Daphnia pulex: one gene and its partners. The protein of the gene in region 2 purifies or fractionates together with the protein of the main gene of each other region. This does not show direct contact. Links are inferred from orthologs where the notes say so. Each region holds a gene or a part of one and is shown on either strand. Other genes may lie near its edges. The genes, in order: SWI/SNF complex subunit SMARCC2-like, trithorax group protein osa-like and brahma-associated protein of 60 kDa-like.

Evidence for each region.
Region 1: the proteins of trithorax group protein osa-like (region 2) and SWI/SNF complex subunit SMARCC2-like purify together in Drosophila melanogaster (affinity purification with mass spectrometry; 3 studies listed by BioGRID, with this or other methods). This does not show direct contact. The link is inferred for Daphnia pulex from reciprocal best matches to the Drosophila melanogaster genes osa and mor.
Region 3: the proteins of trithorax group protein osa-like (region 2) and brahma-associated protein of 60 kDa-like purify together in Drosophila melanogaster (affinity purification with mass spectrometry; 3 studies listed by BioGRID, with this or other methods). This does not show direct contact. The link is inferred for Daphnia pulex from reciprocal best matches to the Drosophila melanogaster genes osa and Bap60.

Annotation. Positions count from the first base shown.
Region 1 is NC_060024.1:13,930,793-13,935,000, forward strand, and holds the start of SWI/SNF complex subunit SMARCC2-like, read left to right. Parts: upstream 1-1,336; coding exon 1,337-1,450; intron 1,451-1,532; coding exon 1,533-1,717; intron 1,718-1,785; coding exon 1,786-1,949; intron 1,950-2,014; coding exon 2,015-2,165; intron 2,166-2,225; coding exon 2,226-2,791; intron 2,792-2,856; coding exon 2,857-2,945; intron 2,946-3,036; coding exon 3,037-3,180; intron 3,181-3,242; coding exon 3,243-4,208. Other genes in the region: NAD kinase 2, mitochondrial-like, read right to left, coding at 74-280, 339-646, 709-877, 943-1,026.
Region 2 is NC_060023.1:7,296,578-7,300,239, reverse strand, and holds part of trithorax group protein osa-like, read left to right. Parts: intron 1-23; coding exon 24-406; intron 407-470; coding exon 471-833; intron 834-1,285; coding exon 1,286-2,287; intron 2,288-2,605; coding exon 2,606-2,674; intron 2,675-2,881; coding exon 2,882-3,182; intron 3,183-3,328; coding exon 3,329-3,445; intron 3,446-3,604; coding exon 3,605-3,662. UniProt on the Drosophila melanogaster protein: Trithorax group (trxG) protein required for embryonic segmentation, development of the notum and wing margin, and photoreceptor differentiation. Required for the activation of genes such as Antp, Ubx and Eve.
Region 3 is NC_060018.1:7,203,671-7,208,050, forward strand, and holds brahma-associated protein of 60 kDa-like, read left to right. Parts: upstream 1-1,537; 5' UTR 1,538-1,716; coding exon 1,717-1,800; intron 1,801-1,874; coding exon 1,875-2,092; intron 2,093-2,153; coding exon 2,154-2,316; intron 2,317-2,378; coding exon 2,379-2,864; intron 2,865-2,937; coding exon 2,938-3,083; intron 3,084-3,152; coding exon 3,153-3,276; intron 3,277-3,346; coding exon 3,347-3,484; intron 3,485-3,566; coding exon 3,567-3,722; 3' UTR 3,723-3,923; downstream 3,924-4,380. Other genes in the region: CCR4-NOT transcription complex subunit 9-like, read left to right, coding at 1-592, 659-839. UniProt on the Drosophila melanogaster protein: Involved in the recruitment and site-specific anchoring of the Brahma complex at specific promoter sites.

The DNA of each region.
Region 1 (4,208 bases), on a different chromosome or scaffold from region 2:
TGTACAAGTAAAACGAAAATTTAAAGTTAGTTTTGATTTGATTGAAATAGTGTTTTCAAATTTTATACTGTACTTCGTTGAGAGCTTTCACAGGCAAAATTCGTTTGTTCTTTATGCTTTCTTCTGACTTAGGGACCTCGTCACGGTACTCGGAAATCTCTAAAAATCGGTTTTCTAATTGATTAAGCTGCTGATCATGCAGCTCAACAGGTACATCATAAATTTTATCGCCAATGAGTGTCACGCGGATACGCTTGCGAAAAAGCCAACGGAACTTTCCCTATGAACAACAAAATTTACTATTTGTTTGGAAGAGATAAAAAGGACGAGGAATTAACCTGAAGTAGCTTGTCAATGGCATTCTTGATGTTATTAGAGTATTTCTTCGGGAGGCAGAGGTAGCCTTCGGATCTTGTAGGATCGCTATTAAAACCAATTATCGTCTTCGTAGGATCGTGGATTTTACTTGCACCAAGTAAAAATGTACCATCTCCTCCAGCAGTAAAGATAACATCAGCCCAGTTAATGTTACTTTCATTGTAATCAAAGCGAGTCACAACTTTTGTTTCAATGTTCTTTTGCTCCAAGATACTCTTCACCATGGCTTCACAGTTTTTATGGAGAGTATGATGGTAGAGTAACATATCTAAAGAGAATAAACACTATAAGTATGTATTAAATTAACAACTAAAGTAAAGAAAGAATTACTGTAATCAGATCCTCGCTTTCGTAAGGCGTGCTCCAATTGATTTTCATCAAGATTCTTGTGCCTGAGCTTCTCAAATTCATAGCGAGATAGTTTTGTCAATACCAAGGCTTTTTTTGGAGAAAATGTGGATGCCTCTGATGGGCTCCAACTTCCTACTGAGTTTCTTGACTGGAAAAATTAATAAAAAATGTAGGTTTAAAAAAATTTTCAGAATGAAGTTGGTGTATCCCTACTAGTTTTCTGTACAGCTGTAAATTTCCTATGAAGGATAAGCTCCTTGTCGGCGAACCTTGAGATGCGATTTTTCTCAGAAACATAGCAGCACAACCGTATGGGTCACCGGAAAAATGGTCAGTAAGAGAAAGAAAAATACGTGTCAATCAGTCACGTTATATTTCTATAATATTATCTCTGCCATATTATCAGTTCACCAATAATCTGTTACGTGATTTCAAAACATTGGTTTGGGAACCATCGTACGCAGAAAAACTGAAATAGCCTAGCAGACAAAAAATTATTTCAACTTCCTAACGATAGATGGCTCTGTATAAATAGTGACGGCGTTTGAAACTAAACGACTTCCCTCCCTTGAATGTGAAAGAAGACGCATCAAAAGCATCATCAAAGATGGCTTTCGCACCGAAAAAAGACGGAGGACCAAATTTAAAATTCTACGAGTCTCACGAAACTTTGTTGCTTTTCGAAGGAGTAAAAGCATGGCTTTCAAAAAATTGCAAAAAGGTAAATATTCACCGGCAGCAATCACCGTTTGTCATGTTAATTCTTCGCTGTCATTTGACCGGTTCATTCCCTCTTGTTTCAGTATGTTCAAACAGACCCTCCAACAGCCAAAAGTCTTTCAACTTCCATTACTCAAGTTATCCAGTTTCAAGAAGATACTTATGGCAAAAATGTGGCTAAACCACCTTTGACAAGGATTCCTACAAAATGCTTCCTAGACTTCAGGCCTAATGGCGGCATCTGCCAGATTTTGGCTACTGTTTACAAGTATGTAACTCTTTATTTGTAGCATGCTTCAGTGTTATTGACATTTTTCATATTGATCTTTATAATAGGTATCGTACTGACCATGGATGGAGGCGCATGGATTTTGCTTCTCCTTCCAGAATGGAACGCCACATTGAAATGATGGTTGCGATAGAGAAAGCACTGATTCAAGCCAAATGTCTTGTTCAGCCTAATATTTACATCATGCCAGATGTTGATAAAGGACTTGTCGGTAAGTGCTGTTGTCATATAATAATGCAGTGTTAACAGTTTCATGACCTTTGAATGTCTCACTAGGTAAACTGAAAGAAATTGTCAAAAGGCATCAAGGGTTAATCGCAGAGACTGAAGCTGAAGCAACACATCTTGTTCATTCGGCTGCTGATCCACTCGAAGAAGAGTACGCCCGTCCACTGTTTCGTCGCGATCGCAACACTTTGCTTCATTGGTATACCTCAGTTAAAGCAACAGTTCTGAACCCATGAATATACAACGTGTCATGTCTTAGGTATTACTTCCCAGACTCGTACGACAAGTGGGATACGATCGAATTACCTGTCGATCCTCCAGAGCTCTCAGACTATCTCGAATCTTTGAATGAACCTCACAAAACCTACCGAGTTGCCGCCAACTGGTTGCTGGATTTAGATCAATACAACGAGTGGATGAATGAAGAGGATTACGAAGTCGATGCTAGTGGAAAGAAAAAAGTGCACAAGCTTCGATTGTCCGTTGAGGATTTGATGAGTGGCGGTGACAGTAAACAAAAAGGGAAAACTCCTTCCACTTTGAAACGGAGAAGGTCTCCTTCACCGGCTGGCAGTGGATCGACTAAAGCCGCTGCAACTCCCACAACTGCTGGTGGTGCTGGAAACAAGCGCAAGAGTGTCCGTCCTGCCTTGGGCAAAAAATTCAAAGGTGGCGAAGAGGACAGCGACGATCTTACACGAGACATGGACGATCCTCCCTCAGACACTAATCTCCGCGAAGTCGAAGTGCCAAAGACTCATCCCGTTCCGGGCGGACCTCCTCCAACGGCTATTAAGAAAGATGCCGATTGGATGCCCACTAAAGGTATTATAGATTATTTATTCTTTTGTTAATTGTAGTGTCATTGTTGTATTTTTGATTGAAATTAGGAGCTGCATTGACTGATTTAGATGAAGAAGGTGAAAAGTTGGCAGATATCACATTAGTCACACCACAAGACGATCCGCACGGGCAGCAGGTACTGCTACAACAGGTTATTATTTGGTCGGAAATTTCCAGAACTGTTTCGAGTAACCAGCCGTGTTATTTATTCACCTCCCCCATTTTAGCATGACGATAATGTCACCGACCAAACTCACCACATCATCATTCCCAGCTACGCTGCCTGGTTTGATTACAATTCGATTCACTCGATCGAACGTCGCGCCTTGCCCGAATTTTTCAATGGCAAAAACCGTTCAAAGACTCCAGAGGTAAAATGAAATTTTGGTTTTTCTTTTGTTCAAGTCATACCCATTTGGTCTTTTATTTTCAGGTTTATTTGGCGTATCGTAATTTTATGATCGACACCTATCGCTTGAATCCTACCGAATATTTGACCAGCACTGCGTGTCGACGCAATTTGGCCGGTGACGTTTGCGCCATTATGCGCGTTCACGCCTTTTTGGAGCAGTGGGGACTCGTCAATTACCAGGTGGATGGGGATTCACGCCCGATGCCTGTCGGCCCACCACCCACATCGCACTTTCACATCCTCTCTGACACGCCGTCAGGTCTGCAGCCCGTCAATCCTCCTCGGACAACGCAGCCATCAGCGGCCAAGACTCTGATCGACATGGATAAGAAGACGGCAGCTCGCCAATCCGAAACAGCTCCCGTGGCCAATAATTTCGGCCTGAAACTGGACCAATACAGCCGTAAGAGCTCGTCCGTGTTGAAGAACAAGGCAACCAGAGAGTGGACGGAACAGGAGACGCTGCTCCTGCTCGAGGGTTTGGAACTGTACAAGGACGATTGGAACAAAGTCTGCGAACACGTTGGAACTCGCACCCAGGATGAATGTATTCTCCACTTTCTTCGCCTTCCTATCGAGGATCCATTTTTTGAAGACGTTGAATTGGGTGGCGGCGGAGCTGTTGGACCTTTGGCCTATCAGCCCATTCCGTTCAGCCAGGCCGGCAACCCCATCATGTCGACGGTGGCGTTTTTGGCATCAGTTGTGGATCCACGAGTTGCTGCCGCTGCTGCCAAAGCTGCGATGGAAGAATTCGCCAAGATCAAGGACGAAGTTCCATCGGCCCTGCTGGAAACGCACTTGAAGAACGTCGAAAATGCTCTGAGCGAAGGCAAATCGGACGCCTCGGTGGCCGCTTTGGCCCAATCTGGAATTGCTGGAACAGTTCAAGACAAGGAGGAGGCCGAGAGGGAGAAGGAGAAAGCGGACAAATTGGCCGAAGAGAAGGAAGCCTTGGAGAAGAGCGAAGAGAAGAAGGAGGCTGAT
Region 2 (3,662 bases):
CTCCCGTTGTTTTATTGCTGCAGGTCATCCTCCGTCAGCAGCTTCTCCTGTTACCAATTTGGTGACGACAGGACCGGACGGTGTGGCTGGACTGGACGAAGCCTCTCAGCAATCAACGCTGTCCAACACGTCGGCGGCCTCTGGTGACGACGTTTCGGCCCCTTCGACTCCACGTTCGCGCAAAGAAACCAGCTCGATGCCAATGACCCCGTCCGCCCATCATCCGCCCTTTTCTCAGCAGCCGCCGCACCAAATGCTCAGTCACCCACCAACGCCGCAGAGCACCGTTCCCAGCCCGGGACCGGCCTCCTTATCTTCCCAGCACGAAGATTACAATGACGTACATAGTCCGGGTCCAGGTGTCGGTAACTGGAGTGTCTCTACGCGACCTACACCATCTTCTCCGGTATGAATCAGTTGCTTTTTATTCATTACTTAACAAACTTTTTCACGTTTTGTTTTTCTTCCAGAAAACGTCGCATGTTAGTGACGCGCTTGCGCGGATGTATGACTTTGATGATCATCCTGATCGAAGGAAGTTCCTCGATCAGTTGCTGCGTTTCATGGAAGAGAAGGGCAGTCCCATTACGGCCTGCCCGACTATATCCAAGAATCCGTTGGACCTCTTCCGTTTGTACCTGCTGGTTCGGGACCGTGGAGGTTTCGTGGAAGTGACAAAGAACAAAGTATGGAAAGACATCGCTCAGACGCTGGGAATCGGTGCTTCTTCCAGCGCCGCCTATACACTACGCAAACACTACACCAAAAGCCTCTTCCCTTGGGAGTGCAAATTTGACCGAGGAGGCGTCGATCCACAGCCCATACTCAATCAGGTACGTCATTTTGTTGCGGTTTTTATTACAAGAAAAAGGGTTTTGTCTCGAAGTTTTTAATAGCGATATTTAATTTTTTTTACATTTTTCGTGTTCATTTTCAGAGAAATTATTCCCACATTTAAAAAAGATGTATAATTTGTACTTTAATAATGCGAATCGAAAAGCAGTAGGCTTTTTGGTTTTATTTTATTTTTCTGTGTGTGCGTGTGAAAAAAGTGGGATTACAGAATGAACCGACAACAGCGCATAGCAGCCGAAATTTTTATCAGAATTAGTCAGTTTTTATCTCACAATAACAATACTCGAGATTGTTTGACAAAAACTGACGCATTTTAGTAAACGAATCGACCCAGATGTCGTGGATTATCAGTAGCTCAGTGGGGTTTTTGTTTCGATGCTATTAGCCATGTTTTTCTTTGTGCTAATCGACCGTTTCTGTATCCCTTTAGGTGGAAGCCACAACCAAAAAGAAACCGGCTCCTAAAATAAGTGTGCCCTCGCCGGCTGGATCATCCAACAGTCAGGATTCGTTCCCGTCTTCTGGAGTGCCGCCTATCCCGTCTATGGATGGCTACCCCAATGCACACTATCCTGGTTATCCTCCGCCTCATGCTGGAGAAAACATTGCCGCAAGCAATCCATTTGATGATCAACAACACTATGGTGGCAGAGGCGGCGGTGGACATCCCGGCTATCCGCCACACCAACAGCCTCCTCCCCCGTCTGCTCAGCAGCAACAACAACATCAACAACAGCAACAACAGCAGCAGCAACAACAACAGCAGCAGCAGCAACAGCAACCTCCTTCAATGTACAATACAATGGCTGGTAGACCTGGAGGATATCCTGGCCATCCGGGTCATCCCAATCATCCTAATCACCCTGGCAATCATCCAAACCAGGGAGGATATCATCATCCGTACCAAAACGAGTACCCAAACCCAAACAACCAGCAGTATCCTCCGTACGCGACTCCTCCAAATCGAACAATGTATTCAGCGCCCTACCCGGAACCTTACAACCCTCAAGCGCCACCGAGTGGACAAGCTCCCCCTCCTGGGCCAGGCCCTGGGCCATCACCTTCGGATCCTTACGGCCGATTTATGCCTCCTAATCACGCTCCAGGAGCTGCAACAGCATCGGGGCCTTACCCTCCACGACCGCCTGTGCCTCCTACGGCGTCAACTAATGTGTCGACACCCACGTCGACACCGAGTCCAAGTCCGGCGACGATAGCCACTTCGACTTCTACGGGGTCACAATCCGTACCCCCGTCACCCCTCGCACAATCCATGCAGCCACAACAACAACCGCTCGTTCAACAGCAACAACAATCACAGCCTCCTCAGACGCAACAGCCGGGTAATACCAGTGCTGGACCCAGTCCAGCTCCCAGTCCGGCACCCAATGCGGGAACACCTGGTTATCCAGAACAAACTGATCCGTACCAGGTAACTTATTTATTCTAGTTACGAATTTGCCTCCTCGTGTAGTTCAAAGTATTAACGAAAGTAGAAGAATGCTATCCATCTTTTGATTGGCCATCTGTTTTTTTTTTAAGCATGACTAACCAAAAGTAACAAAGTACACGCACGATGCTTGATAGATTTTGTTTCAATTTCGTGTATTAATTTATTTTGCTGTTTCTATTTGATTAGTAATTATTTTCTGTTTAGTTTTATTTCGATTTTATTTCTCATTATCTCGTTTTTTGTTTCCTCTTCTCTAATCCGCTCCGATCATAATTTTGATTTCATCTGCAACTACAGCGGAGTGGATTGCGCCAATTGTTGGCCTCGTCGACCTTGTTGGCTCCGCCTTCTTCTGATAGACAGCCTGTATGTGTTTTAATTTTTCCCCATTTCTCTACTTAAATCATTATTTCTTTTTTCAAAACTAATTTGCGTAGTGCTTGATAGTTGATTGCTGGATTGGTTTTTTTTAACAACACTAAAAAACAACCAAAAAATCTCTTCTTTTTTCTTTTACTCCAATTCTGAATATTTTGTTTTGGCCTAAATGATTGACGTTTATTTTTTTGAAAGGGTTATCCGGGTGGAACCACACCATCCAATTTGGGTCCACCTGCTGGTCAGCCTTATCCAGGACTCATTCGACCGGGGACTCCTGGGCCGACTCCTTCAGGTATGCCACCTCGCCAGTCGACACCCACTCCGACCGGTCTGAATCCACCGGTTGGCGGAGTAAGTGGCGCAGTAGTTGGACCTAATCCCAATGCTCCTCCTACGCCCGGCGCCCCGATTCAGCAACAACCAGGACCAGGGCCTTATCCACCTTACGGCCCTCCTGGTCAGGCGCCCAACCAACCACGGCAACCTTCATTCGGTAAGGAATTCATTCACGTGTACTATGTGTCTAGTAAGCGGTGATGGATTCTTCTGTTGAAATTTATTAAATCTTAATTTGATTTTTTTTTTCTAATGTGGGTTTCTTTTTTTTCTTACTTTAATTAATCGTCGCGATCCACTCAGATCCTTACGGATCTTACCGGTCACCTTATGGTTTGGCCGGTTCCGGTGATCTTACCTCAAGTGGTGGTGGTGGTGGAACGGGTGGAGTCATGGGTTTTAGTAGCAATCTTGCAACAGGCGAGTGACAGCACTCTTTCCAGTTGTCTTGTGTTTCGTTAATCGCATGCCTGCTACTAATGCAGTACTGCACCCGCTTGTCAGCTATTCATGTCATGTCGATCAGCCAATTGAAACTAATTGTTGTTGTTTTTTCATTCTTGGTTTCTTGCTATTCAGGCTGGAGGAATAACACGCCGTTCGTAAACCAATACCCACAGCAGGGCAATAGTCCTGG
Region 3 (4,380 bases), on a different chromosome or scaffold from region 2:
AAGTTGTTCCTGATTTGGCTCCTATGCTGTGGCATTCATTTGGAACTATAGCAGCTCTATTGCAAGATATTGTAAGCATTTATCCAGCAGTAAGTCCACCTACTCTTACTGCTCAACAGTCCAACAGAGTTTGCAATGCTCTTGCTCTTCTGCAATGTGTTGCTTCACACCAAGAAACCAGATCTGCTTTTCTGCAAGCTCACATCCCATTATTCCTCTACCCTTTTTTGCACACTGTGAGCAAGACACGGCCATTTGAATATCTTCGTTTGACCAGTTTGGGAGTCATTGGTGCTCTAGTTAAAACTGATGAACAGGAGGTTATCAACTTTCTTCTTACAACAGAGATAATTCCATTGTGTTTGAGGATAATGGAAACTGGATCTGAACTGTCCAAGACTGTTGCAACTTTCATACTTCAAAAAATTCTCTTGGATGAAACTGGTCTGGCTTACATTTGTCAAACTTATGAGCGCTTTTCTCATGTTGCAATGATACTTGGTAAAATGGTTTTATCATTGGCCAAAGAACAGTCAGCTCGTCTTTTGAAGCACGTTGTCCGATGTTATCTTCGTCTTTCTGACAATCCAAGGTAAGGGACTTGCAAAAACCAAAAAGGAATTTTCGTATTGATATAAAATTCGACTATATTTTCTAGGGCTCGTGAAGCGTTGCGACAATGCCTACCTGATCAGTTGCGTGATAGCACTTTCTCAACATGTCTTAAAGATGATAAGTCAACTAAACAGTGGATGGCGCAACTTCTAAAAAATTTGGAAACTACTAATGGAATGGTAGATCCCCGAATCACCGGTTTGCCCTCAATGACTCAACCATGAAATGTTAAAAAAGAATGAATGCTCTTGTCTTGTCTTCAGCGAAAAATCGATCAGAATTATAATACAAACTTGCTGTATTGTTTTTTATTGCAACTAATTTTGCGGTTTCTGCTGACTTATTATATAAATTATAAACACGTGTTTCAGAGAATGTTAAATTTACTTATAAGATGTTCATTTGAGGATACACGAAACGGTGATTTCATTTTTGTTCAGTATCAATACGCAATATAAATTTGAAGTGTTATGTAAAAATTAGGTTCAATTTACTAACGCGAAAGACAAGGCGAAAGATGTAGCACGGGGCCACGGGTGTAGTGTCAAGACGGTTCAAGCTATCTATCTCTGTTGCAATATATTTTGTGACGATAAAAATGTTTTTGTTAACTGCCACGATTGCTTTTGGTCCTAACTTTTAAGTCTTAGATTTTTAATTGGTCCAAGTATTGAAAAATTACTTACTATTTTGTATTTTTGCAAATAATCGAATATTATCTGAGTGCACTACCGTAAAATAAGAAATTAGGTCTGAAAATTAATGAATAATGGGAATGGAAAATAAATAATATCAAGTTCGTTCGCGCAACCCGCACCCTCTGAACATTCCAAGAGATTCCAAGCTGAATTTTTGTACATTTTATAGAAACAAAAAAACCTTGAATTGTATGCTTTTTGGCCGCTACGTGGTGTTGAGGGAGGTTTATAGACGCGGTCAACAGATGGCGAATCAAAGCTTCAAACGGCAGGTTCGACCGTTCATCTCATCCGTAAAAAAGCAAAAGAACACTAAGAATTAAATAAGTAAATAATCGAAGAAAAAGTATATCTTAATTTTTGGTGTGTATTGTGTCGATCGCCGTTTTGACGGTTTTATAAAATGCAAAATACGAACGCAGCTACAGGAAGACCTCCCTTTCCTTCTCCGGGGAGTTCTATGCGGTTCAACTCTCCAAATTACCCTGTAAGTATAGTTTCTGTTGTCTTCAATTTTACAGTACCAAACCTTGATGTCATTCAACTTTCATTTTATCATAGCGCCCGGCATTCAATCAAATTCAAAACCCTCCAAACTCTACTTCTTCAGCAAGTCCTACAATGATGGGTCAAAGACCAAACATGATTGGGAATCCAACACCTCCAAATTCCTATAGTGGACAGCCTGTAAGGCCTGGTGGTCCCGGAATGAGCCCCCAAGCTTTGGGACCAGGGAAGAGACCTGGTGACATGAGAGCCCCTAATCAAACAGGAAAACTGTAAGAAATCAGATTATTTCTTTGTGTCCTTAACATCCAAGTATTAATGGTTTATATGTAGTGAATATGGCCCTAACAGTGCAAAGAAAAAGAAAAAGCTTGCAGACAAGATTCTTCCACAGAAAGTTCGAGATTTGGTTCCTGAATCTCAAGCTTACATGGATTTATTGGCATTTGAAAGAAAATTGGATGCTACTATTATGAGAAAACGTCTCGATATTCAAGTAAGTTGAAGTAAAGATTTCTTTTACACGTGTCAGTAATACTTTTAATACTTTCGTTTCAGGAAGCTTTGAAAAGACCCATGAAACAAAAACGAAAATTGCGTATTTTCATCTCAAACACATTCTACCCTGCTAGAGAAATGGATAATACTGAAGATGTTGGCGGAGGAAGCGGGGTTGCTTCTTGGGAACTGAGAGTAGAAGGACGACTTCTGGATGATGCTGCCAAATCAGATCCCAATAAAGTCAAACGGAAGTTTTCTTCGTTTTTCAAATCTCTCGTCATTGAGCTTGATAAAGACTTGTATGGGCCTGATAACCACCTTGTGGAATGGCATCGAACGTCTACTACTCAAGAAACGGATGGGTTTCAAGTAAAACGACCAGGAGATCGAAATGTACGGTGTACCATCTTACTTTTGCTCGACTATCAACCGCTGCAATTTCGTCTCGACTCGCGTTTGGCTCGTCTTCTTGGCATTCACACTCAAACAAGACCCATGGTAATCTCTGCATTGTGGCAGTACATTAAAACTCACAAACTTCAGGTATTATTCATAGCTGTTACAAGCCATGTGTCAAGAATAATCTAATTTTTTTTCTACTTCCTTACTACCTTAGGATCACCAAGAAAGAGAATTCATTCGTTGTGACAAATATATGGAACAAATATTTGGATGTCCTAGAATGAAATTTGCTGAAATTCCACAAAGATTGAATCCTCTCTTACATCCCCCTGATCCAATTGTTATCAACCATTTGATAAGGTACTTAGAAATTAAAGAAGAGACCATTTTCCATTTTATATTAATTTTATAACTTTTTTCTTTCAACAGCAGTGTGGAGAGTGCAGATCAGAAAAAAACTGCCTGCTATGACATTGATGTAGAAGTTGATGATACATTGAAAGCCCAGATGAATAATTTTTTGCTTTCTACTGCAAGCCAGCAAGAAATTCAGGTTTTTTTTTTCTTCCTGTCAATTACTTTGGCATGTTAAGATATATCTAATTTTTAATTTGTGGATGTAGAGCTTAGACAACAAGATCCACGAAACGGTTGAAAGCATTAATCAACTGAAGATCAGTCGAGAATTTTTCCTTGGATTTGCCCGAGATCCGCAGCAATTCATAAACAAATGGCTCTTATCTCAAACAAGGGATTTGAAGGTAAAAAGCTAAATAAAAAAATTTACAAAAATGTGTTGGATAAATTTAAACGATGTGTTTTTGTTTTGTTTTTTGTTTTCAGACTATGACTGACATCGTAGGAAATCCCGAAGAGGAGCGACGTGGAGAGTTTTACGAGCAAAGCTGGACCCAAGAAGCCGTTTGCCGATATTTTTACAGCAAAGTTCAACAAAAGCGTGCCGAATTGGAACAGGCATTAGGCATTCGTAACAATTAGAATGTTACTACTAAGGAAAACAACTTTTGGTTGGACATCGTTTATGTAAGCCAACTGTGACCAAGTGACAGCAGATTAAAAGAAAAATCCCGAGTTACTTATCGTGCATTTGCAGACTGGTAAAATAACAAGGAAACTTTTAACTTTCTTCGAGTATCGTGAATCCTAATTTGGGTCTAAATACATGGTGTCTTAAAATAATACTTCATCATTACTATTGTTTGCCACCCACGCAAGTAAAGAGATTCAGACCTCTCGATTTTTATTTTTTTTAAATTTTTTTGTTTGTTTGTTTTTGTGTTTATGCTTTTCAATTTTTACCGTGTGTCCCAAATCTAGGTAGCGCTTTTTCCTTAACTTAAATTCGCTTAAATTTAAGAAGGAAATTTTAGGCAGTGCAGGGCTCATCTGATCTATCTGATAATTTTAGAATAGTCATATGATGCCATGGGTGAACACATTTTTACTAAACTCGTAGTAATTGATGCATTAATATCAGTCTGGTTTTTCTACTGTGCTCGAACGCCCGACCCATTCAAAACAAATAAACTATAAACTATCAAGGGACTGTTGAGTAATCGATAAGTATTGGGGTCATGGGATCGGTTCAATATTCCTTCGATGAAGAAATTGTTGTAGTAGGAAACTGATAAATTGA